Linked DNA regions of Macaca fascicularis. The protein of the gene in region 1 purifies or fractionates together with the protein of each later gene. This does not show direct contact. Links are inferred from orthologs where the notes say so. Each region holds a gene or a part of one and is shown in the gene's direction. Other genes may lie near its edges.

Region 1 (8,310 bases):
AATCTTTTGGGGCATTTCCTTACATTGTCTTGACAAGACTAAAATGTCTATGTGCCAAAATTCTGTATTTTATTTGGAGACTTTTTTTTTTTTTTTTTTGAGACAGAGTCTCGCTCTGTCGCCCAGGCTGGAGTGCAGTGGCCGGATCTCAGCTCACTGCAAGCTCCGCCTCCCGGGTTTAGGCCATTCTCCTGCCTCAGCCTCCCGAGTAGCTGGGACTACAGGCGCCCGCCACCTCGCCCGACTAGTTTTTTGTATTTTTTAGTAGAGACGGGGTTTCACGGGGTTAGCCAGGATGGTCTCGATCTCCTGACCTCGTGACCCGCCCATCTCGGCCTCCCAAAGTGCTGGGATTACAGGCTTGAGCCACTGTGCCTGGCTGGAGACTCTTTATCAAAAGTAATGCCAGAGGAAGTCTGAGGAATTAGTAGTGTTCCCATCACTTGTTTAGAGTGTGCTATTCTAAAAGATTTTGATTTCCTGGAATGACAATTATATTTTAACTTTGGTGGGGGAAAGAATTATAGGACCACAGTCTTCACTTCTGATATTTGTAAATTAATATTTTATTGAACTTGTTTTGACCATTAAGCTATATGTTTAGAAATGGTCATTTTATGGAAACATTAGAAAAATTCTAATAGTGCAGAATAAATTAATTAATGTTTTACTTAATTTATATTGAACTGTCAATGACAAATAAAAATGTTTTGATTATTTTTTGTTTTCATTTACCAGAATAAAAACTAAGAATTAAAAGTTTAATTACAGTCAAAAGAAGAAAACACTGTTCATTATTATGGTTATGCAATGATTTCTCATTCTAAAGAATAATTTGTCCCAGAGTCTAGCTACAGTGCAATCTCAATCCACATGCTATTAATTTAGGTTGTGTGATAATCTGATTATTCATTCACCATTTCCTACTTAACATTTTTTGACACTCTTCACAGATACTTTTCCCACATTTCTTGATCATCCCGGGCCATTCTTTTTTCTTTTTTCTTTTCTTTTTTATTAGAGACAGGGTCTTGCTTTGTTGCCCAGGCTGGCCTCAAACTCTGAGCTCAAACAGTCGTCCCACCTCGGCCTCCCAAAGTGCTGGGGTACAGGTGTGAGCCATGGCGCCCGGCCCCAGGCTATTAATCTTTTTTTTGCACCTGCCCCTTATTTCTGTACTGTGACAAGTCCCAGCATTGTGTTGTGGGACTTACACAGTATACTGACAGTTACCTCAGACTTGGTCACGTCTGTGCTCAGTGCATATTAAGAGCTCAACCAAAGCGTGCTGAATCAACAGCCAATGAACTTGATCTAATAAAAATGAGGGCCCAGGAGATATAAATTAGCAAAGCATTTTCTCCTGAGCATTCATACATCTTTTAATATTTGTAGGCAGTTTAAAATTGAGCTCCCAAGCAAACATTTGAGAACAGACACCTTGAGCAAACCGTGAAATCGGTGAAAATAAGAATTTATTTTAATTTTTTTGAGATAGGATCTTGCTTTGTCACCCAGGCTGGAGTGCAGTGGCATGATCTCAGCTCACTGCAACCACTACCTCCCGGGTTCAGGTGATTCTCCTGCCTTAGCCTCCCGAGTAGCTGGGATTTACAGGCGCCCACCACCACGCTCGGCTAATTTTTGTGATTTTAGCAGAGATGGGGGTTTCACCGTGTTGGCTAGGCTGGTCTCGAACTCCTGACTTAAAGTAATCCGCCCGCGTCGGCCTCCCAAAGTGCTGGGATAATGCTTGAGCCACCATGCCCAACCTGAAGACCGGCATTTATACCCATGGAGTGCAGGAAAGGACCTTGTAATTGTTAACAAGTGACACTTAGTGGCAGATGAGACCTAATGAAGCCAGGCCCACCTTCCACACCAGATTATAAATTCCCCCGGAGCAGAGAGTAAATGTTTTATTCACCAACATGCCCAGATCCCTCGCAATGCCTACGCTTGACAAACACCTGTTGTGAACAAGTGCACGAGGCAGCCTAGCAGCTAGAGTATTTCGAGGTCATCCTAACTGGGTTCCACTTTTGAATTTTTGTTTTTTGGGTTCGTTTGGAGACAAGGTCACCCTCCACTTGGGAGCAAAGTCTCCCAAGCTGGAGTGCAGTGGTGGGAACTCTGCAATCTCAACCTTGTGGACTCAAGTAATCCTCCTGCTTCAGCCTCCGGGGTAGCTGGGGCCAAAAGTGCGCGCCACCTTGCCCGGCTCCTATTTTGGGTTTCCGGTAGTGCTCTCGCTATTGTGACCAGGCTGGTCTCGAACTACTGGGTTCAAGCAATCCTCCCACCTCGGCCTCCCAAAGTACTGGGATTACAGACGTGAGCCACTCGCCCGGCCGAGTTCCACTTCTGAAAGCTTGGGGAGCCGCTGGGCCTTCCAGGAAAAGTGCTCCACCTCCCGACTGCAGGCAGAGCCCCCGGCCCGGCTCTTTCCAGGGCCTAAAGCTAACATTCGGTCAAAACGCGAAATGCGGAATTCGGGTCAGGGTGGCAAAGCAAAGCGCGATGACAGTGAGGACGACGTCTAGACGCAAACACACATCAAATCGGGCCGAAGCCCGCTGTCGCCTCGCGGGCTAAACCTGGCACCCCGGGCAACGCGCGACTCCGGCACCAGACGCTCTCCGAGTCAAACTACATCCCCCGGCGTGCACTGCAGCGCCCGCCCCTGGCCGGCCGGCGGGGCCCAGGAGGAAGGCGGCCGAGCTGCCCGTCCCGCAGGTCCCCTAGGGCCCTTTCTCTGCGGCCTTTCCCCACCCCGGACCGGGCACTTCTCGGGCTCTGCGACTACCATTCGCCCCGCTCGCTCCCTCAGGAGTCGCCTAGGCCGCGCAGTCTGCTGCCTTCCCGTCAGGCCTTCGCGCCGGCGCTCCCGCAATCACGGGCTAGAGAGGGTGGGCGTTCCGGCTCGGGAGGACCCTTCTGCGGCCCCGGAAGAGCCTCGTCCTGGGCAGCGGTGGTGCGGCGGTCGCCGTTATGGCCACGGGACTGGGCGGCTGACCGCCGGGCTAGGAGAGGGCCCAGAGCCCCGAATCTGGGTGGCCGCTGCTCGAGCGCGTCCTGCGCCATGGCCGCCTCCGCCGCCTCCTCGGAGCATTTCGAGAAGCTGCACGAGATCTTCCGCGGCCTCCATGAAGACCTACAAGGGGTGCCCGAGCGGCTGCTGGGGACTGCTGGGACCGGTGAGGCGCGGGTGGGCCACGCCGTGGGGAGCGCGGCCCCGCGCGCTTTGGAATTTTCCCCCACCTTCCTCCCAGACCCGGGCCCGCGTCTCCTTCCTCCGCGTCCTCAGACACGCCCCCTAGGGCTGGCTGGGTCGCAACCCCGGGTCTCCCTGCCACTGAGAGTGAATTGGGGACGCGCCCAGGGACGCGGGGTTCAGTTCCCTGGGTTCCTTCTATGGCCTTCCACATTTTCTCGTTTTTTTCCACTGCGGCAAACAGAGCAGAGGGGCTTTTACATCTGCGGTCCTGTAATGTAGCGTGGGTTTCTTTCGTAGCTGTTTTTGTTTGTTTTATGCATTTAGAAGCACTAGTCTCAAGACAGGTCTAGTTTTCACCAGACTGACAGAGGATCTGTAGCACAGAAAAAGGGTTAAAAACCCAAAAGAGTCATAATTTGGGGCGTTGGTATATACCTGTTATTGGAGGGTAGAGAGCTGGCCTTTAAAACCTTATGGTGGCGTTTAGATGTGGTCTTGTTTTGAACGTTTTTACTGCTGCGACTATTTACTACCCCTTCATTTCATGGTTCAGGTTGCTACAAGTTTTGTCTGGAGGAGCTAGAGTTTTCCGGCCCTAGATCCATAGGAAGACCTGCTATATATAGTTCTTGGCCTCCGGATATGTAGAACTTGATGGCAAGGACAAAACTTTGTTTTATTGCTTTTATTTAAGGATCAGAGCTTGAGTGTTTGCTCAACGAATTACTCAAGGTCATAGGAATTGAATGACTCTGGTGAGAATGAAATGCATGTATTTAATATATATTTATTGTGAGGCTGCTGTGTGCCAGGCACTGTTCTAGGTGCTGGTGAATATTGCAAATTACAGTGAAAAAGACATGCACGTCCCCATTCTAGTGGGTAGGTGATAAACAATATATAACTATTAAGCGGCAGTGTTAAAGAATACAGGAAAATAAGAGTAAAGGAATAGGGGATGGGACTTCAGTTTTATTTTATTATTATTATTATTATTTTTGAGACAGAGTCTTACTCTGTCATCCAGTCTGGAGTGCAGTGGTACGATCTCGGCTCACTGCAGCCTCCACTTCCCAGATTGAAGCAATTCTCCTGCCTCAGCCTCTGGAGTAACTGGGATTACAGTTGCGCCACCACCCCTGGCTAATTTTTTTTGTATTTTTAGTAGAGACGGGGTTTCACCATGTTGGCCAGGTTGGTCTCTAACTCCTGACCTCAAGCGATCCGCTTTCCTCGGGACTTCAGTTTTAAATAGGGCGGTTGTGAAAGTCCTCTGTGAGGAGATGGCATTTGAACTGAGACTTGAATGAAGAGAGGGAGTAAACCAGAAATCTGGGAGAAGTGAGTGTCAGAAGGAGGGAATAGCACTGCAAATGCCCTTAAGCGGAAATGAGCTTGGTGTGTTCAACGAAGAGCAGGAAGTTCCATGTGTTTGGGATGAAGTGAGCAAAGGAGAGAGGTAGGCAGGGCCAGATCATGTAGGGCCTTGTGGACCATGGTGAAAGACTTGTGCCTTTTTCTAAATATGATGGGATGCAGTTAAAATATATTGTGCAGAACCATTGTGGGATCTGATTTATGTGATTGAAAAGTTGACTGCAGGCAGGGCACGGTGACTCACACCTGTAATTCCAGTGCTTGGGGAAGCAGAGGCGGGCAGATCACTTGAGGTCAGGAGTTCAAGACCAGCCTGGCCAACATAGTGAAACCCTATCTCTACTAAAAATACAAAAATTAGCCAGGCATGGTGTCAGTTGCCTGTAGTCCCAGCTACTCAGGAAGCTGAGGCAGGAGAATTGCTTGAACCCAGGAGGCAGAGGTTGCAGTGAGCCGAGATCCTGCCGCTGCACTCTAGTCTGGGCAACAGAGCAAGACTCTGTCTCAGAAAAAAAAAAAAAAGGAAAAGACTGCAGGCTAGGCGTGGTGGCTCACACCTGTAATCCCAGCACTTGGGGAAGCTGAGTTAGGATTATTGCTGTATTGAATGATTTTGAGACCAGCCTGGGCAACGTGGTGAAACGCCATCTCTACAAAAAATACAAAAATTAGCCAGGCATTGTGGTGCGTTCCTGTAGTCCCAGCTCCTGGGGAGGCTGAAGTGGGAGGATCACTTGCGCCCTGGAGCTGGAGGTTGCAGTGAGCCAAGATCGCACCACTGCACTCTAACCTGGATGACAGAGCAAGACTCTGTCTAAAAAAAAAAAAAAAGTAGACTGCATTTTCAACCTGGCACTGAGTTAATTTTTGCATTGCCCATTTCTATAAGGCTAAATAATGCAAAAGAACATTGCTTGAAAAATAGAAAATTGAATTCATTATTACTATGGTTTGAATGTCCCCTCTAAAACTTATGTTGAAATTTATTTGCCATTTTAATCGTGTTAAGAGGTGGGACCCATAAGAAATGATTAGACGATGAGGGCTCCATCCTCAGGGATTGGATTGTTATCCTGAGAGTGGGTTGGTTGCTGAGAGAGTGGGTTAGTTCAGCCCTCTCCTGCTTGCCTGCTCTCTTGATCTGTTGCTCTTCCACCTTCTGCCATAGGGTGACACATGGGTAGCAAGAAGGCCCTTGAAAGAATCAGGCCCCTCAGCCTTGGGCTTCCCAGCCTCCGGAACTCTGAGAAATACATTTCTTTTCTTTATAAATTACCCAGACTCAGCTATTCTGTTATAGCAACATAAAGCTAAGATAGTTACATTCACGTTTGTTGTCTCCCCAGCCTTTTTCTCCATCCTGCAAAGAGGACAGTCGGAAATATGTGATTTTTTTTTTTTTTTTTTGAGACAGAGTCTTGCTCTGTCACCCAGGCGGTGATACAATCTCAGCTCACTGCAACCTCCACCTCCTGGGTTCAAGCGATTGTCATGCCTCAGCCTCCCAAGTAGCTGGGATTACAGGCGCATGCTGCCACACCCAGCTAATTTTTGTATTTTTAGTAGGCATGGGGTTTCACCATGTTGGCCAGGCTGGTCTCAAACGCCTGACCTCAAGTGATCCACCCGCTTCAGCCTCCCAAAGTGCTGAGATTACAGGCGTGAGCCACTGTGCTCAGCAGAAATAGGTGAATTTCTACCCAACCACAAAATATTCTAAGTTGCTGGCAACAGACATAGTTGTAAATAAAGTATATACATATCCCTAGAATTGTAATAAGAAGTCCAGCAACTTTACCTCTTATTCACTGCCTCGTTCACACTGCTCAATAAATATTTGTTGAATAAATTGAATTTATCTAAGCAAACACATGGTGCCTCATCTCTGAATCCGTCTTTTTCTAGTTCAGAGACCACATCATAAAGTTTTCAGCACTTTAATGCCCATCATGAATTATTAGGCACAGCATAATGTACATAATACAGCCCTTGCATGTAGCTTATGCTGTGTAATTGAATTAAGTTATTTTTCAATAAACACTGAGAATTATTATGTATCAGCCACTGTCTGGGTCCTGAAGACTTCCAGAGTACTTACCTTAAAAAGAAACAAACGGCCGGGCACAGTGGCTCATGCCTGTAATCCCATCACTTTGGGAGGCCTAGGCGGGCGCATCACAAGGTCAAGAGATAGAGACCATCCTGGTAAACATGGTGGAACCTTGTCTCTACTCAAAATACAAAAATTAGCTAGGTGTGGTGACATGCGCCTGTAGTCCCAGCTACTCAGGAGGCTGAGGCAGGAGAATTAACTGAACCCAGGAGGTGGAGATTACAGCCAACAGAGCGAGACTCCATCTCAAAAAAAAAAAGTAAACAAACTTACAACAAAGTGTGTGATTAATTCTAAAATAAAGTTCTCAGAGACCATAAAAAAGGCTGGACTTGAGCATGGGGAAGAGAGGGGAAGCTTCAAAAAACTTCAAACTGAATATAACGGGTTAAATGGGAGTTTGCTAAACAGGGGAAATGCAAAGAGGCAACACAGGAGTTAAAAAATGGAATACCCCTAACTCTGGAGCTTAGAATGTATATGGGAAAGTAGTAGTAGATGGGGCAGGTGAAACAGCCAGATTGTGAGGGGATCTTAGTGTGACATTGAGACGTTTGGACTTGATATGGAAAGTCAGTAAAGGACTTAAAGCAGTTGATTGATGTGGATTTTCTTTTAGAAGGAGGGCATTAATGGCTAGACAGAGGATGAGAGAGATCTCAAGAATCTGGGTATAGGGGACTGTGTTAAGAGCCTTTTGGGCAGTTGCCTTGGTAACACAGGAATTTGTTTGACACAGGGTCTCACTCCTGTCTCCTGTCATCCAGGCTGGAGTGCAGTGGCACCATCACTGCTCACTGCAGCCTTGGCTTCCCAAGCTCAAGTGATCCTCCCACCTCAGCCTCCTGGGTAGCTGGGGCCGCAGGCGCATGCCCCTAGGCCTGGCTAATTTTTTGTAATTTTAGTAAGGGTCTCCCATGTTGTCCAGGCTGTTGTCGAGTTCCTGGGCTTAATTAAGATCCACCCACCTCAGCGTCTTAAAGTGCTGGGGTTACAGGTGTGAGCTACAGTGCCCAGCCCAAGAGGTGGTTTTGAGGCAGAAATTAGGAAGAAAGATTCCAGGGTGTCTGCATTTTTTCACTTGGTCAACTGGGTGAACGATGAACTTAAATAAGAAACATAAGAGGAGAGGCAGAGTTTGGGTTGTGGATGAGAATATCAAAGGTACCTGCAGAACAGAGATCATGACATAATATATGTCCATTCTAGCCTCACAGAGTATTTCTTCATGGGTGCAGCACACCAACATGGCACATGTATACATATGTAACAAACCTGCACGTTGTGCACATGTACCCTAGAACTTAAAGTATAATAAAAAATAAAAATAAATAAATAAATAAATAAAATAAAACATGGGGGCCAGGTGTGGTGGCTCATGCCTGTAATCCCAATATTCTGGTGTGGTGGCTCGTGCCTGTATTCCCAATATTTTGGGAGGCCGAGGCAGGAGGATTGCATGAGGCCAAGAGTTGGAGACCAGCCTTGGCAACATGGTGAGACCTATCTCTACAAAAAAATATATATATATATTAGCTGAGTGTGGTGCTGCTCACCTGTAGTCCCAGCTGCTCAGGAGGCTGAGGCAGGAGGATCACTTGAG
Region 2 (7,574 bases), on another chromosome or scaffold:
GGTGCTCAACTGGTAAATATAATGCAAATATTCTAAATCTGAAAAAATCCCAAATATTTCTGGTCCCAAGCATTTTGGATAATGGAATCTCAGCCTGTATAAGATTGACCAATGGATTGTAGTGTGTGGGAAACAAAGCTCCCTAATGACTGAGATACTCCTTCCCATTTTACTTGGTAAACTAAGAAAAACAAGAAAATTATTATTGTAAAATAAGAAAGTCTAAAAAGTTCTTTAATACAGTTTTAGGATCCACATTGCAGCTAACCTTTAACAGCCACTTGTCAAGTTTTGGTATACTATCAAAAAAGTACATTCACAATTGTCCGAAAAGACTATTAAAATTCTCCTCCCTTTTCCAAGTATATATCTGTATGAGGCTGGATTCTTATCATATGCTTCTACCAAAATGTATGTCCACAGACTGATGGTATAAATGGATATGAGAATCCACATTTATTAAGGAGATTTGCACAAATGTAAAACAATGCCATTCTCACTACATTTTTTTTGTTTTAGAATTTTTTAAATAAAAACATTGTTAACATGTAAGCTCACATTTTAAAGTTGACAAATATTTTTTAAATGTCTGTTTGAATTCCTGATATAGTAAATAGCGTTAGATATATAGTACACATAACTCTAAGCTCTTTGGGGTCTTCAATAATTTTGAAGAGTTCAAAGGAGTCTCCTGAGACCAAAGAAGTTCGTAGATTGCTACTTAGAATTTAATTCCAGCATCATAATTGTGTACTGGTGGTGGAGAACAAACCTAAGCCCTAGCCCAAGGCTTCTTGGTTTGAGGCTTCTAGTTCTCAAAAAGGAATTCATATTTACTTTACAGAATTGATAAATTTTATATTCTTTAAAAGATGTCTTTACAGATACCTCTTTAACTCTGTCTTACATTATCGCAGATGATACTCAGTACTTACAAATAAACCAATACAATCAGCCCTCCATCTCTGTGGGTTCTAAATCTGTGGATTCAGCCAACTCAGGATTGAATATATTCAGTAAAAAGAAGAATGGTTGCATCTTTGCTGAACATGTACAGACTTTTTTTTTCTTACTCCCTAAACAATACAGTATAACAGCAATTTACATAGCATTTAAATTACATTAGGTATTATAAATAATCTAGAGATGATTTAAAGTATGTAGGAGGATGTGTGTAGGTTATATGCAAATACTATGCCACTTTATATAAGGACTTCAGAATCTGCAGATTTGGTATCCCGTGGGGGTCCTGGAACCAATCCCCCCAGGATACCAAAGGATGACTTACTTTGCATTAAGGAATGATACATAGCTCTTTCTCCACTGAATCACCCAGATCCCATAAAGAGTAAAGAAAATAGATTTGCACCTCACTTAATTCTTCCCCGTTTTATCTTAAATAGGGTTTCTCGTTAGCACTGAAAGTCTAAAGGCTGACATGAAAGGAACAGTGAGGTGACTTGCCTAAGCTGTAAACTAGATGTGAATAGACCTTGGTAGATTTGTTGTCCATTTGGCTTGCTTATTTACTCAGCCTGCGCCTAGTAGCTGTATTCTCTGTTTAACATTCAGCCTCTTAGCTCTCGTCAGTATGCCATAGACCTAAATATTGTAAGGTGCTTTTCTTCATTTTTGTTAGTGCTTTCTTTTTTCCAGTACTTGAAACGTCAGAGGGTATAGGATGTGTGTGAATTCTGTCTTAAAGCCATAGACAACAAACACCATAATCATCTAGAACACTTTTTTGTGGTCTTTGTTCCAGAAGAAATCATAGAAGAATCAAAACAGTTCTTATAGTTTGGGAGTAGTGGGATTATCATCTTTAAACATGAGAGACCATATGGTTATAAAATGACTCCTTTTTGGCTTTTATATGTGGTAGTATTAGATTATAATATTTAAATGGTGGATATTGGCCCAATGGTGGGGGTAACAGTTCTTAAAATCTTGTGACTATATCTAATCTAAAAACACGCTAGATCATAGCACTTAATGGCCTCGTCTCATTTTCTGAACAAGAAAAACACTAATCTGGCTGGGCGCGGTGGTTCATGCCTGTAATCCTAGTACTTTGGGAGGCCGAGGCAGGTGGATCACCTGAGGTCAGGAGTTCGAGACCAGCCTGGCCAAGATGGTGAAACCCCGTCTCTACTAAAAATACAAAAATTAGCCAGGCGTGGTGGCAGGCGCCTGTAATCCCAGCTACTTGGGAGGCTAAGGCAGAAGAGTCGCTTGAACCTGGGAGATGGAGGTTGCAGTGAGCCGAGATCGCACCACTTCACTCCAGCCTGGGCAAAAGAGTAAGACTCTATCTCAAAAACAAAACAAAAACAAACGCTAATCTGGTATATGGTATTGCTTAATTAAGGAAAGTAGGTATATTTAAAGCTAATAATGTTTGGAAATAAGATTTTGAGTTTAAAAATTTCTCGGATTAAAATTGTTAACCTATAATAAAACGGGAGCTATATAAGAGTAACCTTCCCTCCAGCATTCTCATTCCTCCCATACCAAGAAAAGAAAGGCTATATTAGAACTTTTTCATCTGAGTATAAATTATTAATACTATCACACCAAGTGAAAGCATGTGGGAATGCCCATTGCCCTTTAGTTGATTTGTAGGATTGCTTCATTATACTGTTATGTATAGTCTGTTCAGAGAAAAATATTAAATTTGTCCTTCCCCAACAAACTTGATATTGTAGCTGCTTAAATAATGGATATTGTATTCCAAGCATCAGCTGAGAACATAATACTCAGACTGTGTATCAAAGTTTTGAACTTTGATATTTGTCTGTGAAGAGCCTTCTGTGGGAATGGTGGTTGCTGAGGATGGTGTATGATCATAAATGTTAGCCTAAATCCTTCAGTAACTTGTCCATGGAATGTTGCCTGTAATTTCTCTCCTTTGCCTCATCTTGATTACAGAGAGGTACAGAAAGCTGTCAACACTGCCCAGGGATTGTTTCAGAGATGGACAGAGCTCCTCCAGGACCCCTCCACAGCAACAAGGGAAGAAATCGACTGGACCACCAACGAGCTGAGAAACAACCTCCGGAGCATAGAGTGGGATCTAGAGGACCTTGATGAAACCATCAATATCCTTTTCTGTGCTGTCTGTGCCATTTTGGGTAAACAGACAAATAGACAAGTTTTTCTCCAGTTGTTTCCACTATGTAGTTGAAACATTTTCTTTTATAATTGATTGATGTTTGTTGCTCTTCCTTGTACCATGATATGTTTAAAGTATTTGCCCAGTAAGTTAAGGTAGAGTAGCCACATTCTTGTACAGTGTGTGACAAATCCTGTACTATAAATATATATATATTTAAAGGCAGCATGGTGTAATGATTATGACTCTGGACCCCAGAATCAGATTCCCGGTGTTCAAGTCCTGGCTCCACCAATGTAAAGGGGGAAAAAAAAAACCCTGTTTCTCTTTTTTTTTTAATGTCTCTACCCTCACAAGTCGGTATGATATTTCTGATACTGTCTACGTGGAAATAGCATCAGGTCCACAGGTTAGGAGCTCAGTCCCACAAGACTGCTCCCACTTCGATGCCAGTTGCAAGCCCCAGGTTGTGACCAGTGCTCCCGACTGACCAGGTATAAATAGGAGTTCCCACAACTCCCTCCATAGATCAAATTAATTTAATTTGCAAGAGCAGTTCACAGAACTCTGGGAAACAGTTTCCTTAGGTTTATCCGTTTATTGTAAAGGATATTACAAAGGGTACAGATGAATAACCAGATGGAAGAGATGCTTGCAAGGTGTAGGAGAAGAGGTGCAGCACTTCCAGGCCCTCTTCAGGTGCCTCCAGGAACCTCCACATGTTCACCTATCTGGAAGCTTCCTGAACTCTGTCCTTTTGGGTGTTTGGGGAGGATTCATTTCGTAGGCATGATTGATCGCATCAGTTGGCCATTGGTGATCAACTCAGCCGTCAGTCCCTTTCCCCTGGGGTGGGGTTGAGCAGGGGGCTGAAAGCTTCAACTGTCTAATCACATGCTTGGTTTCTCTGGGGACCAGCCCCTCATCCTGAGGCTATCTAGAAACCCCCCCACCATCAGTTATGCCATTAACATACAAAAGATACTCATCACTCTGGAGATTCTAAGGGATCTAGGAGCTGTTTGCCAGGAATGAGGTGCAGAGACCAAATTTGTATTTATTATGTTATAGTATCACAACCAGTTACCATGTTACTTGGGCCCATCACTTAACCCCCTGTGCTTCAGTTTCCTCTTTAGTGGAAAGTTAGGATAACAAGAGTACCTAGCTCATAGGATTATTGGGATTATACAGGTAAAGAGTTTAGAACGGTGCCTGGCAAACAGCTTATGTAATAGTGCAGCAGTCATCATCATATAGAGGTACATATAGGCCAGTGTTACACTTTGGTAATTAGAGATCAAAAAATCTTTTTGTAGACTGTCATGTTTAAGAAGTGATGTTCAATGGGCGCCGTCCATCAAAGAGGCATCTTGTTCCATGAAACTGCATTTAGTAAAAGCAGATCTGTTCTGCTAATTCATGGTGTTGATGTGAAGTGAGTCCACTGATCTGACTCATGCACTGGAGAACTGTAAAAACTTCATTATATGGCCTTTTCTTTTCAACTGGAAATCCCACTTAACCAAAACTTTAGATGGAAGATATGCCACTTGCATGCTCTGAGTTCTGTTTTGTTTTTTCTCTAAGTGAGATAAAGCATCAAGAAAACCAGCTTCTGTCAGGATCACCCTATAGTTAGCACAGATTCGTATGCAGTTGATACATGGAGTAAATTTTTGTTATTCATGATGACCGCGGGTACCTTTTAAATTATTAAAAGGCAAGTATGTTCTCTAAGATTAGTGGCAAATATGTGAGGGGGCAGGATCAAAAGCACAGTTACAGGGAGATAATTCTTCCGTTGAGACAGGAGGGAAGGAAAAAAAGTTAGAGGAGATAGAGAAAATGTGAGATTGAAAATACAAAAGTTTTAATAGATACTCATCATTCAACCAGCAAATGTTTATTGAGTATACTATGTGCCAGGCATTTTGCTGGTTATGGAGATTAGATTAATAAACACTATACCAGCCCTCACATAACTTTGAGTGGATAGGGATGCGGAACAGATGGCAATCAAATAATAACACAAATAGATACTTGCAGACTATGAAAGAGAAGTGTAGAGAGCTGTGCGAGTGTCTGACATGGTGCGGCGGACCAGGCCAGAGGGTAAGGGAATGAGGGCAGCTTCTCTGAAGAAGGCCTGATCTCCCTAGATTAAGAAGTAGGGTTAGCATCTTGGCATAATTGGAAGTGGTTTGGAATGGCAGGAGAAAAAGACATGCAAAAGCTGGCTTAGTAAAGATGATCAGGAGTCAAAAAAGGATAGACACAAGGGTTGGCAAACAGGAAGAACCCAGCTCAGCTGTGGTCAGATAGCCCTAAGTGTTTGTAGTGAAGCTCATCAGCGGGGGCTGTGTTTCTTAATCCGACAGGTCATCTCTGTCTTGGGGCAAAGGGATCCTCCCTCCAGTGGCTGCAGGCAGAGGAAGTCGGAGAATGATTGGTGTCCAGCTGACTATGTTTTCAGAAAGCGTGAGCCAGATTTTATTTGTTTGCATGTGAGAGATTCAGTGAGTTAACAGGATGTTGTCAGGCTTCGATGATGAAATTGTTTTACCTTGACTTTTTGACCTACGCATAGTTGAAGCAAATCCTAGAAAATTTAACCTCGATGCAACTGAATTGAGTATAAGAAAAGCCTTCATTACAAGTACTCGGCAAGTTGTCAGGGTAAGGAATATGATCTTATTGTGTTATCTGTATAAGAAATAGCCAGACTTCTTAGAGCTCTTTCCCTTAATTGTAAACTAATAGGTCACCTCTGAAACCACTTTTTAAATATGAATCAAATGTGAGCTTCCCCACATATAATTTCTCTGATTGGCTGGGCATAGTGGCTCATGCCTGTAATCCCAGCACTTTGGGAGGCAGAGGTGGGTGGATCACTTGAGCCCAGGAATTTGAAACCAGTCTGGGCAACATGATGAAACCCCGTCTCTACAAAAAAAAAAAAAAAAAAAAAAATAGAAAAATTAGCTGGACATGGTGGTAGACACCTGTAGTCTCAACTACATGGAAGACCAAGATGGGAGGCCGAGGTGGGAGGATCATGAAAGCTATGATCATGTCACTGCACCCTCAAAAAAACAAAATTCTGTGATTGAAGAAAAAGAAATCTGTTTTTAGCCTTTCTTTTTTTGATACGACGTCTCACTGTGTTGACCAGGCTGAAGTGCAGTGGCACGATCTTAGCTGACTGCAGCCTCTGCCTTCCGGCTCAAGTGTTTCTCCTGCCTCAGCCTCCCAAGTAGCTGGGACTACAGGCGTGCACTACCACACCACGCTAATTTTTTGTAGAGACAGGGTTCACCATGTTGCTCAGGTTGGTCTTGAACTCCTGAACTCAAGCAGTTCGCCTGCCTCGGCCTCGGAAAGTGCTGGGATGACCTGCGTGAGCCACCATGCCCGGCCTGTCAGGCTTATTTCCGAGAGTAAAAATAAGACAGTAATCTGCTGGCTTTGGGCAGGGTACATTCAAATGGTGTCATCCTGAATGATTAGACCCTTGTCCATATCTCTAGTTTCTTCAAGCTGGTTATCTTTCTCACTTTTTATTTCTTAGTGTACTCTATTTCTTGATGAACAAAACAATTACTATTGTAGAAACCATTTGGTTTTTTGATTGATTGGTAATCACTTTGCATTGTTGAAGAGTGACTCTTACTGGGTTTGGATAGCAGCCTCTTCCGCCATCTGAATTGCTTCTGGAACTCTTGCAACCTATGTTACTGACATTTCCATATGTAACTGCTTGACAGCCATTCCAGAGTTATCCAGAGCAAGCAAGCATCTATCAGAGTGTAAAAAATTGATCCAAGTGAACAAATCTTTAGTTCTAAGTTATTTAGAATAATACCCATTATTAAATAATCTAAGAAAAAATATTATTTAAGTACAATCTTGTGTCATTAAAATGTTTCATATTTTGAAACTATATGGCTAAGCCATTTGATTAGCATAACTAGATGTAAGAGAACCAGCTGTCTTTAACATATGTACTAGAAAGCAGCTTCCTTGAATAAAAAGACTTGGGATCATACCAGTGCTAACATATGGCTTTTTAAGAGTCATCTTAGGCAGGAACCTTAGTATGTGTTTGCCAAAGTCTTTAATATCATGTGATTTCCTTTGGAAATTATTTCAAATGGTAGATTATCACTGAACTTTATATATTCTTGTTACTTGTTTTATTCATTAGTTGCCTTTCTATATACATAGATGTAAATTGTTTATAAAGAAACCCACATTTTAATGAGGGAGAAACCTTTCTGAACCTCAGATACCCCATCCACAGTGAGTGTTTGGATTAGACATTCTTAATCTCTAGCCAGTTCAAAATACTGTTCGGATGAGGAAGCCTTGTTGTTAGGTGACATATTTTTTGTAAGATAAGTAAATCCCCAATTATTTTGTATAAGTTTTTCTTTTTTTTTTTTTTTGTAGTAGGTTTTTT
Region 3 (7,574 bases), on another chromosome or scaffold:
GACATGTTGGCAAGGCGTCTCAAACTCCTGGGCTCAAGCGATCCTCCCGCCTCAGCCTCCTGAAGTGCTGGGATTATAGCCCTGAGCCACCACACCTAGCCATAACTTTTTAATAAATGTTTTTTGAGTGAATGATATATTTAACTCAGATTTGAAAATGTTTGTTAAATGCTTACCTTGTACCAACCACATTTCACATGACCTGGGAAATAAAGGGATAAGTGGGTCAGTCTCTGTTTTTAAGGCATTTGTAGTATAACAATGGGGACAAGACCAGTGTGAAATACAAATAGAAATCAAAGGACTATAACTATTGTGAAAATGTAAAAGATCGTGGGGAAGTATGTTATCACTTGCTTTGTAAACCAAACTATCTCCATATTAAAGTAAATAAGTAGATCATTTTCTTTATTCTACAAAAATTGTGTTCTGGGTGGGGAAATATCCTGACACACAGAAAACAGTCATGAGATTTTTCATCATTGAGTGAAGGTTACACAGTAGCTGGATTCAGAGTGTTACACCAGCAGATAGTAATGTGTGAAGGACAAAGCAGCAATAACTCACGAATCATGTAGCAGAAAAATTAAAATATTATTTGGGGTTTCCATTATCAATAGTGATTTATTACATGTGTGCCATGTTGTTGGAATACTTGTAGGTTTATGATACTCTAGTAAGAATCTGGAATTTTATGGGTCTGTCCCAATTAATCTGCCTATATCCATGGAATGTTATCCTTAAAGGGTTTTGTTGGGGGTTTTTTTGTTTGTTTGTTTGTTTGTTTCCTTTGAGACAGGTCTCACTCTGTTGCTCAGGCTGAAATGCAGTGGTGCAGTCACAGTTCACTGCACCTCAACCTCCTGGACTCAAGGAAATCTCCCACCCCAGCCTCCCAAGTGGCTGGGACCACAGGCACATGCCACCATAACCAGCTTATTTTTAAATCTTTTTGTAAAGACGGGGCCTCACTGTGTTGCCTAGTCTGGTCTCAAACTCCCAGGCTCAGTGGATCCATCCGCCTTGCAGAAGTGTTGAGATTACAGGCATGAATCACCAGGCCTGGCCTTAGAGAGATTCTGGGACCATAACTATTTTATTAGCTTTTTGTTTTCATTTTAAAAGTATATATAATGTCTACGGCCATACCACCCTGAACGTACCCAATCTCGTCTAAAAGTATATATAGTATATGTATATTAATATCCATAATAGCTATAATCTGATCGTGTGTAGGAGCCTTAGTACATTTTGTCCATTCCTGTCCTGCCATAGCACCCTACTTTAAGCCATTAATTATCATCATTTGCATATGACAAAAAAAACTAGCTGGGAATTTCAAAATTGATCCTTGATGAACAGTAGCTTTACTTTTGTTTGTAGTTAAATGGAGGTCTCTACACTCACTGCTTTATATCTCCCCCTCAAGTAGCTGGATATGCTTTATAGGATTTATACTCAAATTGTTCATTTATTCAGCAAATATTTGTTGAATGGCCACTGTGCCCCATGCACGACTATAGGTACTGGACTTACAAAAGTGAACAAAATAGGCAAGGTCACTGCATTCATTGAGCTTACCTTCTGGTGGGGAGAGGCAGAAAATAAGCATGTAAATAAGTAAATAGGTACAATTACTATCACTTTATATTTGCTTACATGCTATAAATAAGATAGAGTAATGGGGTAGAGCATGCTGTTTCACAGCTATAAGGTTAATACAGTGCATTCAATGTACGTTCGAACATATGTTCCGTAAGGGCTGGGATTACTTGTCTATTTTGTTCAATGTTACTTCCTCAGTACCTAAAACAGTACGTAGTAGGTTCTCGTTATTTGTTGAAGAAATTAATTAGTTGTGTATTTGTGCCATTGTTCTTAAATAAGATGAACACCTTCAACTCTCTACTTAGGGGACTGGGAGTTGCAACAAGATGTCTTAGAGACTTAGGGGTTCTTTCAGATCTGTTTGGACAGAAGAGAACTCTGCATGCCCAACTTGGTTGAGCTTCAGTCTTATATCCTCCAGTGGAATAATATGTGGGAAGCACAGAACTCTGGGATGCTGTGAAAAATCTTGAAGTTTATGTGTGGGTAATCAGTGGGTGTACATAATGCTTTTAACCTGGGATGGAGGTTACTGTCATCAAGCTTAGTAATTGCTACTTGAATCTGAGAGTACTTCTGAATCCACCTATGTCTAAATGGGCCTTCATTTTGTTTTTATAGCAAATTTTTTAAAGAACTAGCTCAGTGATCGGAAAGGATAGAACTCTTTCAAAATTAAACATGACCGTGCCTCACTCCTCACTTACTACATTAGTTTGGGGACTTGTGTGGGGTAGAGGGCGGAGACCATATCTGTGTATTGTAAAAAATTGTTAAAGCCCCCTACTCACTTCTTCCTTTTCCAACTAGAAACGCAATTGCATATCTTCATTTATTTAAATATTTATACATTTAATGTTTATAACCGTCATGGACCCTTAATGACAGGCTACGTTTGGAGACATGCATCATTAGGCAGTTTCATTGTGTGAACATCATAGAGTACTTACACAAACCTACAGAGTGTAGTCTACTACACACCTAGGTTATATGGTATGGCCTGTAGCTCCTAGGCTACAAAGCCATACAGCGTGTGACTGCACTCAATACTGCAGGTAATTATAACACAATGGTAAGTATCTGTGTGTCTAAACTTATCTAAACGTAGAAAACATGCAGTAAACATATGGTATTATAACTTATAGGACCACTGTTGTAAATGTGCTTTATCATTGACCAAAATGTTATGCAGCACATGTCTGCAGTAAGTAATCCAGTGCACTTTAAACAGTGTTTAGTTGTGAGGACCATGGATTTGCTTTATTTCTCCTTTTAAATATTTCATTGTTGTGACTTATTTCATAAAGTAATTTAAGATAACTTTTTGTCTTGTGGTTAGAGCCACAGAGGAGAATAAGACACTTAAAATGATTAAACATGTCCATGTTTGTGTACTCTGGAGTTAACTCCTGAATGAGAGTGGATAGCTGAAGACAGTTATTACAATTTTAAGTTTAGGTTAAGTCTTTACTGAACAGCCTGAAATTTGGTTAAAACAGACCCCCATCATCTAATATAAAGGATGAACAAACAATCGAAAAACAGAAAACAATTTTTTCCTTTTTGCTTCCTGGTGGGTTCTTCAAAATATTCCCAGGTGTCCCCAGTTATCTTATACCCTGTTTAAGAAAAATCTGATGAGCAGTGAAGAATTCTACCCATTGAGCATCAGTATCTCTTAGAATATGCCCTACATTTCCATTCTGGAAACTAGGAATGTTTCATAAGCCTTTACCGTACCTGAGCAAAAGGTATGTTAAAAAGTATGTTAACATACCTCCTTTGTTAGCCTTCGTGTATGAAATATATAGCAAAAGTAGGGTGCAGCCTCAATAGCCTGTTGAAAAGAAAACCTGATTATTTTTAGTGAAGCGGTTTAAACTCTGCACTTAATGAGCATGCTGACAGTACATTTAACTTGCTTATGGGTTGCAAGTCAGAAGCAGGGCTAAAAGTAAGCTATCTTTAAATATTACTTTAATTTATATCAAATTGTCTTTCATTATCTGAATACTGAAGCCCACAAATGGAAGAACATTGCTATAAAGTCCTAAATTTAAATTTAATAGTTGAATAATTCTCCGAGAATTTGCTGTTCTTTATTATGTCTAATGAAATTTCAGAAATTGTAAATATTCTCAAAAGAAGGATAAATAATTGTTTAACTTTTTTAAACTAGTGTTCAGAATCAAGTGGATGAAGTTATTGATGTCATGCAAGAAAATATTACAAAGGTAATTGAGAGAGGGGAGAGACTAGATGAACTACAGGACAAATCAGGTACAGATCTTCATGTATTCCTTGATATTACTAATCTGTTTGCTAGTTTTTTTCTTCTACTTATCTAGCCAGCATTTACAAATCTTGGCTTAGGAAACTGGTATTTGGTTCTTAAGTGTATGATTTTAATGGTTTAATTTTAACTCCTTTACTTTGAGTCATCTTATTGTTACATTATTTTTTAATTGTTCATTGGAGAATGAAGAATTTAAAATTTCATTGTTGAAGAGTGAAGAGTAGAGCTGTTTTTTCTTTCGCACTTTGATGTTGATGAACTTTGTGTTTCTCACGATCTCAGGGCCGAAAGACCTACTCACTTTTCAACACTTGTTTCAAACTTATCTGCTATTTTTATTTTATGTTTCATTTGGTAACTTAGTCACCTTTCTTTACTTTCAGTCATTACACCTATAACCTATATACCCATACCTGGCATGTACTTGGCACTCAAATATTGTTTGAATGGTGAATGGCTGAATACCTGATTAATCTTTGACAGACTTAAAAAAAAGACAACCTCGCTTAGTCACTTTTAAAATGTATATTGTTTTCCTTTAAAATCAGTCACTTTTGATATCTTCTAAAAAGCTAACTTCTCTACATGTAATTTTTTTTCTAGAGGTGTGCCAAGTGTTTGAATTTTTAAAGAGTATTTTCTTATTAGAATTCCTAAGCTTATTTATAAGCATTAAGGCCCTAAAAAGACTTTTCTTAATTTTATAATAAAAAAGGATTGAGCAAACTGATCTGCAAACTGTTTTTTACTTTTTGTTTTTGTTTTTGTTTTTTTTATAATGTAGAATGCCAGAGTTTGTGGGTGGAAAAAAGGGAGAATGTTGTTTTCATGCTTAAAAGGGAATAAATTTGCAGAAGTAGAAATTAATATTTTCTTATCTTTGTGTGACTAGATAAAAGAATCCTGTTATGTCGTTTAATCCTTCTCTCCATCCTCTATGTGATATAGAAAGCTTATCGGATAATGCAACAGCTTTTAGCAACAGATCCAAACAACTTCGAAGGCAAATGTGGTGGCGCGGATGCAAAGTAAGTAAATCAGAAGCTCCTGGATAGATTGGTCAGCATCTGAAGTGGTATTCAAACACATGAAGGAAAAAGGGCCTCTAGAGCATAACATCTGTGAGAACAGGGCCTATAACTGTCCTGAGACATGGTAGAAATTCAGTAAATACTTGTTAACTTAATTGCTTTTGGGATAGGGATAACTAAATAAATCAGTATGCCTAAAAGGATGTTTTCATAGATTTTTTTTCATGAGAGTAATCCACATTTTATTAATATTTGGCTACCTCTAGACTTATTAACTTGTAACAAATATACATTTTTTTCTTGAAATTTACTGTTAGTACTTTTTTGAGCAACCTCTAGCATTATATAGAGATATCAAAAAAATAAAGTGAGAGCTAGAGAAAAATACGACTTTTAGTTGAAAGGGGAAATAATAACAGCAGCTTACATATCCGAATCTGTTAAGGCAAATGGAGTTAAGAAAAAACTCCACTTCCCTCATTATTCCAGAAAAATAAAAAGTAAAGGAAATTTTTAACATTTTTAACAAGGAAAACATTGAGAATGTCTACATACTAATATACTCCTCCAAAACATTGTATAGAAATACATTTACTTCTTAAATCAACTGTGGCTACTAATCATTAACAGAAAATGTTTTTCATGTTATATAAGCAAATCTTTTTTTCTGATTCTAGGTATAATTTTTGGCTTTGTTAAAAATTTAGACAAGAACTGTTTTTAGTCTCTCATTTTCAAGTTTAGCAATAACTTTCTTTTCTTTCTTTCTTTATTTTTTTTTTTTTGAGATAGAGTTTTGCTCTTGTTGCCCAGGCTGGAGTGTAATCTCCACCTCCAGGGTTCAAGCGATTCTCCTGCCTCAGCCTCCCGAGTAGCTTGGATTAACAGGCCTGCACCACCACATCTGGCTAATTTTGGGTTTTTTTGTTGTTGTTGTTTTTTGTTTTTTTAGTAGAGACGGGGTTTCTCCATGTTGATCAAGCTGGTCTCGAACTCCCGACCTCAGGTGATCCGCCTGCCTCGACCTCCCAAAGTGCTGAAATTACAGGCATGAGCTACTGTGCCAGCCAGCAGTAACTTTCTAAACCTGACTTAGCCATATGCTAAGGATTTTTTCCAAGAGTTACCTTGGATTTATTTATTTTTATCTGTCTACCTATTGAATTGTCCTACTTTCAGAAGTGGAACTGAGGAAAGAAACAAACTGTTTCATTTCTCCCCTTGTTCAGAATTTAAATTTTCTATTCAAAATTACTTTATTCTTTAAAGAATGAATTTATTTTCTTTAAAGTCTTTTTCTTTTTCTTTTTCTTTTTTTTTTTTTTTTTTTTTGAGGCAGTCTTGATGTGTCTCCCAAGCTGGAATGCAGTGGCGCAATCTCGGCTCACTGCAACTTCTGCCTCCCAGGTTCAAGTGATTCTCATGCCTCAGCCTCACAAGTAGCCCAGGTTCAAGCAATTCTCCTGCCTTGGCCTCCCGAGTAGCTGGGATTACAGACATGTGCCACCACACCTGGCTAATTTTTGTATTTTTAGTAGAGACGGGGTTTCACTGTGTTGGCCAGGCTGGTCTTGAACTTCTGGCCTCAAACAATCTGCCCACCTCAGCCTCCCAAAGTGCTGGATTACAGGCATGAGCCACCACACCTGGCCTAAAGTTTCTATATCTATAGAAATTTACAATCTGCCCACCTCAGCCTCCCAAAGTGCTGGATTACAGGCATGAGCCACCACACCTGGCCTAAAGTTTCTATATCTATAGAAATTTTCTATTCTATGGGCTAATTTGGAAAAACAAAAGGTCTATGAACCATTCACCCCTTCTCTCCCCCCAAACTCATGTACCCCATTCATGTATCCACAAAAAAGATGGTCATAATGAACATTTTGCCTAACTTTTTTTTTTAACCATTTCTAAAAATGTTTGCTTTGTACTTTATGGGGTTTGGGTCAGAGGAATAGTGTGCTTTTGAGGAGGAAAAAACATTGAGTTATATTTTTAAATAGTCATCACCTTGAGGACCTCTGGAGACCATGAATAGCATTGACCATGTAATGAAAACCATTGTTCCATAACATAACAAAGACCATTTACAGTAGCAAGTATTCTTCATTTATTATTTTCTAATGCTTCCTTCAATTTTACTGTACCCCATTAATACTTCATTGTGCTACTATTCATCTGGGGCAGCCTCCCTGTGCCTGCCATTTTCTAGATTGACTTCCATAATGAGTAATTTCTGAAGGGTTTTAAGAAAAAGGATATAAGGGCAGAATACAGATCAGGAGTTTCCAGTGGCTAAGGGGAATGTGGTGCGGTTGGAGACTGACAACAGGTCATGAGGAAACTTGTTGAGGGTGGTGGTGGAAATGTCCTATATTTGATGGTGCTCATGCCTATTAACAGCTGGATATATTTGTCAAAACCTATCAAAAGCACTTTTAGAGGATAAGTTTTATTCTGTGTAAAGTGTATCTCAATATACCTGGCTTTAAAAATAAATGAATTAATAAAATTATTCATGGGTGGGGAAAGAGAATCGCTAACACCTTTTAATGTATCTGGGGGGTCGTGAAGCTCTTATATGTTTAATGCCACACAGATTTTTGTTCATGAGCTTTGGACTTGCATGAATACAA
Region 4 (7,574 bases), on another chromosome or scaffold:
GCCTCCCAAAGTGTTGGGATTACAGGAGCCATGAGCCACCGCACTCAGCCCACCCTCTTTTTTTTAAACACAAACGGGAACATTTTATATCTACATTTTAAAATAGTGCTTCCTGTCTATTTGTATGGCTGTGTGATATATATGCCCAGTCCTGAACTGGTAATGACACACTCCAGGGTTGCAAGGCACAGAATTAAGGCTCCCTCTGCGAAAGCAACACGATGTCTTAAACTGGGCTAATCCCCCAGAATGCTTTGCAGTCTCCTGGGGAAAGGGGATTTGTAGCGCGCCTGGGACCCAGTGGGCCCCCGGTATCCCAGGCAGGAAGTAGAAGAGGCTGTCAGACCCTGGGGTCGTGGTGGGGTCAGGAACTCTTCGCCCCACAACCCCAGCGAGCACCCAGTATCTACCCCAGTCCTCCTGAATTGAGTGTGCCATTGTATGCAGGGGCGGGGGCCACAGCCTCAGGAGGCCTGCGGGAAGCTGGCTTCACAGGTGAAGGGTGAGGGGTAGGGGCACGTCTGTACCGGCACTGGAGCAGAATGCTTGCTTTCTCCTGGATAGCAGACTAGATTGTCTCCTTTTTTTCTTTCCTTTTTCCCCAGAGGCTCATCCAAAATAGAGGAAGCATGTGAAATCTACGCCAGAGCAGCAAACATGTTCAAAATGGCCAAAAACTGGAGTGGTATGTCATCTCCGCTAGAGCTCCTCCGAGGTGCTCTCCTCCTCCCTCAGCTTCCACTCACACAGGCCTGCCCCAGAGGTTGGCCTTGAGGGCCCCTTCTCTTTTTATGCCATCTCCGTCATCGGAAAGCCACTGGCCTGCTCTCTAATTGTTTTGTGCCTGCTGGGTTACTTTATACTCTGGGTCATGGGGCCTTGGAGAAAGGACAGAGAGGATGGGAATAAATAGATTATTAGACCTGGATAAACCCATGTGGATTGATGAGCTCTTAGAGTCCTCCTTAAATTCAGAACTTCGGGTTTCCTGGTAACTTCCTTAGTGCTTCCATCAGTGTCTGAATTCTAGGCTGGGGTGGTGGCGGGGTGGGGGGATGTTCAGGTGATTCCAATAACAACATGAATCATGGCTACTGTTTGTTGAGTACTAAGTGCTCATCATTTAATGGCATTAGCACAGCAGCCCTAAGGGTCAGTCTGTAAATATCCCTGTTTTACAGATTTGGAAACTGAGGCTTGGCTTAGTCTTTTGCCCGGGGTGCCAGAACTAGTAAATGACAGAACCAAGATTCAGAAACCAAGGCTGTTACTGCAGAGCCTGAGTGTTTAACCTGCCCCAGTGAGGCAGGAGAGCTTCATGGAGGAGAGGGGTGGGGAGGAGCCCCTTGGGCCCAGGGAGGCTGGAGATCTGTTTGGGGCTCCCTGCAGGCCCAAGAAATCCAACAAGCCAGTGCATTGAGCCCTTTTGAAGCCCATTTCATAATACATCTTTCACGTCACCAAGATCGAATTAAGGAAATACAGCAAGAGACCAGTGTTTGAACACAGGGAGACACTTCCTGACTGTGGAGGAGAGGGGACCTAGTGGTAGGACCATGGAGGCAGGGCGCAGAAGTGCACAATAAAATTGATTATCATCATTTTGAGAATGTTGTTGGTTTCCCAAAAATTCAAAGAGTTACTCCTGAGTTTTCATAAAATACGTTGTGAATAAAGCCAAATGTTCTGTGTATTTTTATGCTCCCAAACTAAGAAAATTCCTCTAGAGAAAAAAAGTTTATTTTTTTAATTACATAGGTGTTGCTTTTCTCCTAAAATTTGTTACCTCTGCCCCCCAACTCTTCAAAGAAAAGCCCTAGGCCATTTTCCCCCTGGTATTATCCCGTTTTCTTGAATTTTTTTTTTTTTTTTTTTTTTTTTTTGGAGACAGTCTTGCTCTGTCGCCAGGCTGGAGTGCAGTGGCGCGATCTCGGCTCATTGTAACCTCTGCCTCCCTGGTTCAAGCGATTCTCCTGCCTCAGCCTCCCGACTAGCTGGGATTACAGGCATGTGCCACTATGCCCAGCTAATTTTCGTATCTTTAGTAGGGACAGGGTTTCACCATGTTGGCCAGGATGGTCTCCATCTCCTGATCTCGTGATTCGCCCACCTTGGCCTCCCAAAGTGCTGGGATTACAGGCATGAGACACCATGCCTGGCCGTAATTTTATACTCAAATTTGGAACTCTTGAAAATAATAATGAAATCATATAGTGAAAATCTGGAAGGCTTTGTCTCTTCTGCTGCTCAAACTTAAGAGGATGGGGCTAGGCCTCCTGGTCCTCTTCCAGCTCAGAAACTCTGACTCAGATTCAGCTGGAGGAGAATGAAGGGGAGAAGCCTCAGAACTGAGCTGGAGGTGGTCAGCTCCACGAGGAGGAGGAGAGACACTGCTGCCTCCCAAACGTCAGTTAGGAGATGTGTGGGCAGAATGGCTTGGGACCCACAGAAGCTGACTGTGTGCAGATGAGCACAGGACAGACGAGGCTTCAGGCGCCGTCTCTTCTGCCCTCCCCCATTGGCATTGGTCTGCATGTACTCATTCTTGGTGTCCACATCCTGTTTCCCTCTCTGGACGTGCAGTTCCTGGAGGGAGCCGGCTCTGTGTTGTCCGACCCCAACTCCATGAGCCTCACAATTCACACAGGTGCCTTGTCCTTGGGGATCTGCAGTGAAGGGAACAATGTGAACGGAGGCAGAGGAGTTGGGTGAATCAGGAAGAGCTTTGGGGAGCTGTGGAGAAAGAAACAGGACTTGGAAAGGGGAGTAGATGGGAAGGTGTTATGTGGTTTAATCTCAGTTGCTCCTTGCTTCCCAAAATACCCCTCCCAAGCCACCCCGTGATTCAACCTGCACTTTGCCTTCTAGTGGTGGTTCTGGGCCCTGTGCTTTGAGGCTCCCCTAGGGAGGACTGCCCAGGCTGGGAGGTGCAGGAGGCCACTCACTCTGTTTTATATCCTTTCCAACTCAGCTCTGTCTGCCTTCTCCTTGGATCTTTAGAAGTGGTGGCCCTGGAAATACCAGCATAGCTGGGATTAGGGACATGGCATTTTACCTGGGCTTACCCTGGCTCTCTTTCCATATACCTGGGGCTCAGGGGCTTCCCCTGAGGCAGCTTCCTGCCGCCCTTAGAGACTGTCAGGCACACCACCAGGAGCCTCAGTGCAGGAGCCAGCAGACCTGAGGTCTAGGCCTCAGTCTGGGCTCGCTCAGGTCACCCTCGTCCTATCTTGGGAACTCTTTCCACATTTTCAAGAGCCCGATCCACCTCCCAGGGCAGTGCCTCTGTGGCTTCATAAAGTGTGGAGCCCCACTGAGGCCGGGACCACCCTTCTCTTCTGTTCCAGCTGCTGGAAACGCGTTCTGCCAGGCTGCGCAGCTGCACCTGCAGCTCCAGAGCAAGCACGACGCAGCCACCTGCTTTGTGGACGCCGGCAACGCATTCAAGAAAGCTGACCCCCAAGGTGAGGATCTCTGTTGGCCACAGGGGCTGCCTGCCTGGCCCAAAGCGCCGTCCTAGCACCCTGCATCGAGTCCTCGGGTTTCCTGGAGGCTCTGGTTTTTCCAATGGCCGACGTGATAGGCTGGCAGGGACGCGCCTGAGGTAGAGTGAGCTTTGACTTCAGAACTGGCTCCCTTCCTTGTGGTTGGCATTCGCGCCCTGCTCAAGTCTCCGCCCCCTGTCTACCCTGTCGGTGCAGCTGATCACCCCTTCCCAAGCCCGGAGCATTTGGGAGTGGGAGTTCCATTGCAGACCCACCGCCTGCCGGGGAGAGAGGAAAATCTGTTCTGTTGTCAGAATTAACATGCAGAAGGGAGCAGGGTGGGGGGGATTTCTGAGACCAGCCAGGTAGGAGTTGCTGCCGAAAAAGGAGCGGAAATTAGCCCAACCTGGCTTCCCTACATCCTGGGGAGGAATTAGAGAGAACAGAGCCCGAGATATAGTTGCCAGAGAACAAATTACTTAAACTGAGAGCGTGTTAGGGACAGAAGCCCAGTTTGGGGCTGACTCATGGTGAGAAAACAGTTTTTGTCCCCCTGGGTGCCTCCTGAAGAGGAAGCCCAGCCCAGTGTTTGTATGGGGCGGGAATTTTAATTTATTTTTTAAAATCTTGGTGCTAGGTACAGGTTGCTAATTAGAAAGCACAGGCAGTTTTTAAAAATGACCATCTACTGTCACTGTCATCTCAGGGGAATGGAAAATATATAAATCTTTAAAAAGTAAAAAGCAGCTAAATGATCTTGGAATAAGGGTCTGTTCTTCCCAAGAGAAGACAGATTTGCAGCAGTGCAGGGCGCTTCCTCCATGGATCAGCGAGCACTGGTTCACACACCGTATTTGGGAACCGCTGGCATACCCCTTTGTCATGATCTGAGATATTAGTTCCCAGACGAGGATGAATTTGTGTGTTGACCAGTAGCACTTCTCTGTCCTTAGACTAACCAGTTGCTCCTCACCAGCCGAGCATCTCACACATTGGCCTCAGTGGTCACATGGTGGGGCTCAGGCCTGGCAAGAGGCGGAGGAGCAGCCTTGTAACTGGGTGGGCCGTGGAGCTTGCCTGGCTGGTAGCACGGGGCCACAGCGGGCTGCGTGGGTGATGCAGTGATGACCCAGGGAGACCCTGAGTTGGTTTTAAGCTTGACTTACCCCAGGAAATCTCCATGCCTTCCATTAAGCTGCCCCGCCAAGCCTTTCCTTCTGCTCCCTGGGAAACTGGTTGGCCTAGAGGCGCTGTCTTAGCATCTGTGATGTTCAGCTGCTGCCTCTTCTGGAGTGACTAGAAGGACTCTCTGGGGCAGCACTGAGCGCCAGGCTGCAGAACAGTGAGTGCCATTTGCTCTTTCAGCAGACTCTTCACTTCCTGCAGACAGGCCCTACCTGGCAGTGGGATATGGTGGGGTCCGTCCCCTGTGTTTGATCTGAGCTTTTCTAGCTCTCCAGCTAGACTCTGCAGGGTGTGGGCCTGGAGTCTGGATGTGGCCCTTCCCTTGCCTTAGGAAGCTCAGAAGGTGGCTGAGGACTCTGACTGGTAGGAAAGTATAAAGATGATGCCACATCCAGGGCACAGAGGCCGACTTGCGCAGAGCTGAGGCTAGGAGGGGGAGAATTTGGCTAGGGGAGATCTTTCGGGGAAGAAAGGGGGCAGTTCTGAGAGGCGAGCCTCACTTGAGTAGAGCTGAGAGCAGGTGCCATGTCCAGAGCCCTGGGGAGGTGGTGCTGAGCAGGGAGGGGTGTTAGCGCAGTGTCCAGAGCTACAGCCTAAAGATGCGCACCCCAGCCATGGCTCCCAGTGGGGCAAGGGGCACACTGGCATCAAGGGCAGCGGCTGCTGTGTGTCTGAGGCTAGTCAGGCCTTACAGAAGGCCAGGTGCAGTGGCTCATGCCTGTAGTTTCAGTGCTTTGGGAGGCTGAGGCAGGAGGATCACTTGAGCCCAGGAGTTCAAGACCAGTCTGGACAACATAATGAGATCCTGTCTCAAAAAAAAAAAAAACCACCTCACAGAGAATGTCATGTAGCAGCTGTGTGTGGCTCAGCAGTGCAGGTGGTGGATGGTCTGGGAGGACCCTGCCTCCCCTGTGATCCTGGGCAAGTCAGTCTCTTGGGCCTCTGTTTCCTCATCTGTTAAAGCAGAGACTGCTGTGAGATGATGGAGTCATGCCCAGCGCAGCACCTGGTGTGTGATAAACTTCCAGTCAGGACACCCTTGGCTTTCATCAGTCCGGGGGCCCCTGCCTGCCCTGGGCTCCCCACAGCCTCTGCCCTTGGCCAGGTGCCTTGTGAAACAGCTCTGGACGCCCAATTTGGAACCTTGCCTGGCTTCCTGGAGCAGGTGGCCGGCTCCCTGGGGCCCTCGTCGTCACTGGTCTCCTCGGCAGCCTAGAAGTCCTCTGTCTTGGGTCAGCACTTCCTCCAGGACTCTCTCCAGAAGGACCTGCCCCCAAGTGGCAGCTGGAGTGTGCCTAAGGCCCGGCTGGGCTCCTGAATTCCTCTCCCTCTACAGAGGGTGGCCTGCTGCCACCTTGGTGGCTCTGGGTGGGGAAGGGTGATGCTCATTTGTGTTATTGGTTCCTCGGTTACCCAACCACCGCTGCTGCTCAGGGCAGACTGGGGCCAGCGAGGCCTATTCCTGGGCCTGACTGATAGCTGGGGCTGGGGGTAGTGTGTATACCTGGGGCAGGGACGCGGCCCAGCCCCTGCTTGTCCCCTATTTCCTCTCTAGCTGCCATTTACCGGGTTCCTACTGTATACCAGATGCTTGGCATCTTTTAACCCATTTGATTTCTTTGTGCATTCTGTGATTTGCCCCCATTTTACTAAGGAGGAGATGGCCAAGTGTAACCAGGAAGGGCTCAGAGAGGCAGAAGTCAAGCTGGGCATCGCTAGTAGGAATGACTGCGGGGATGGGCAGTGGCCAGGGCCATAGCTCCCCAACTTGGGCTTTATTGCTCCGAGCCCCTTTCCAGCCCTCTGTGGGTGGGTGCAGGAGGGGCCGGGCCACAGAGCTGGGTGTTGCTCCACCTGTCCGAGTGCACAAGGCCTGGTGACCAGAGATAAGAGTAGCAGTCATGAGTGTGTCAGAAGCTCGTCCAGGAGCCAGCTGGCCCAGGTGTCTGCTGGTGGTCCGCTGCTTTCCAGGCATGGAGGAGACTTAACCCCGTGAGTCCATGTTGCTGCACGGGGGGTAAGCTGTCTCCCTGCTGCTACTGCAAGGGCTGTGCCATGCTAACAGCGGGCGCTCCAAAGCCAGTGCCAGCAGGCCCAGGTGGCAGCTATAGATCTCACTGCTCACTGCAGAGCAGCAGCCTTTGCTGCCTCAGCCTGCAGGGTGCCAGGTTGGTGTCCTGGCCAGAAGAGTGAACCAGTGAGCAGCCCGGGGCCACCAGGTGGAGGCTGCAGCCAGGTGGGGCGGGGCAAGGTGGACCGCTCACTTCACTCCAGCTGCTGCTCCCCTCCTCTGCAGCATGGCCTGGCTCAGCCATTGCTTCTGGGCCCACCGATTACAAGATGTGTGTGTCTTCAAACTGCCGGGTTTAGGTTGTGTTCTCTCCCCATCCTCCTCCTTTGCCCCCTTTTTGCCACCTTTCTCTCTTTCTGCTGCCACAGTCTCTGTCTGTCAGCTCCGGAACCTGGACTGAGTGCTGTACCTTCTGTCAGTCCCTTTCGGATCCCCAGAGGTCTTTCCGAATTGGACAAAACCTACAGACCCCAGTCCCCAGAGGAGTGCTTATGGATCCCAGTGTTCACATGTCAGAAGGAGGGGTTGGAATCCCTGAAAGCCTGGCCACAGGCCTGAGACTAAGAGCCTCTGTTCAGATGCCTCCCCATGGAGGGGTTTTGAAGTCCCATCCAGACCTCGAGCCCCTTGAGAGCTGCCCAGCCCCGGCGCTTCTTGGTAGCACCCTCATCCCAGGCGAACATGGCATGGGTGACCATGGAGACCCCCACAGTGACCAGGAACTTTCAGATGCCCAGGCTGCAGCTCAGAGCCCATGCCCTATGACCTGTCCAGGCTCCCTGCCTTTCCCTCTCCCCAGCCCAGGCCTCCCTCCCCACAACACCCCTGTTCTC

The links.
Region 2: the proteins of VTI1B (region 1) and STX6 purify together in Homo sapiens (affinity purification with mass spectrometry; 3 studies listed by BioGRID and IntAct, counting the BioPlex papers as one, with this or other methods). This does not show direct contact. The link is inferred for Macaca fascicularis from reciprocal best matches to the Homo sapiens genes VTI1B and STX6.
Region 3: the proteins of VTI1B (region 1) and VAMP4 purify together in Homo sapiens (affinity purification with mass spectrometry; 4 studies listed by BioGRID and IntAct, counting the BioPlex papers as one, with this or other methods). This does not show direct contact. The link is inferred for Macaca fascicularis from reciprocal best matches to the Homo sapiens genes VTI1B and VAMP4.
Region 4: the proteins of VTI1B (region 1) and NAPA purify together in Homo sapiens (affinity purification with mass spectrometry; 3 studies listed by BioGRID and IntAct, counting the BioPlex papers as one, with this or other methods). This does not show direct contact. The link is inferred for Macaca fascicularis from reciprocal best matches to the Homo sapiens genes VTI1B and NAPA.

What each region holds. Positions count from the first base shown.
Region 1 is NC_088381.1:135,574,309-135,582,618, reverse strand, and holds the start of VTI1B (vesicle transport through interaction with t-SNAREs homolog 1B), read left to right. Parts: upstream 1-2,928; 5' UTR 2,929-3,082; coding exon 3,083-3,197; intron 3,198-8,310. UniProt on the Homo sapiens protein: V-SNARE that mediates vesicle transport pathways through interactions with t-SNAREs on the target membrane. These interactions are proposed to mediate aspects of the specificity of vesicle trafficking and to promote fusion of the lipid bilayers.
Region 2 is NC_088375.1:38,491,047-38,498,620, reverse strand, and holds part of STX6 (syntaxin-6), read left to right. Parts: intron 1-2,928; coding exon 2,929-3,098; intron 3,099-5,696; coding exon 5,697-5,791; intron 5,792-7,574. UniProt on the Homo sapiens protein: SNARE promoting movement of transport vesicles to target membranes. Targets endosomes to the trans-Golgi network, and may therefore function in retrograde trafficking.
Region 3 is NC_088375.1:29,323,914-29,331,487, reverse strand, and holds part of VAMP4 (vesicle-associated membrane protein 4), read left to right. Parts: intron 1-3,787; coding exon 3,788-3,888; intron 3,889-4,796; exon of another isoform or gene 4,797-4,852; coding exon 4,853-4,932; intron 4,933-7,574. UniProt on the Homo sapiens protein: Involved in the pathway that functions to remove an inhibitor (probably synaptotagmin-4) of calcium-triggered exocytosis during the maturation of secretory granules.
Region 4 is NC_088393.1:55,517,486-55,525,059, reverse strand, and holds part of NAPA (alpha-soluble NSF attachment protein), read left to right. Parts: intron 1-605; coding exon 606-685; intron 686-3,347; coding exon 3,348-3,464; intron 3,465-7,574. UniProt on the Homo sapiens protein: Required for vesicular transport between the endoplasmic reticulum and the Golgi apparatus. Together with GNA12 promotes CDH5 localization to plasma membrane.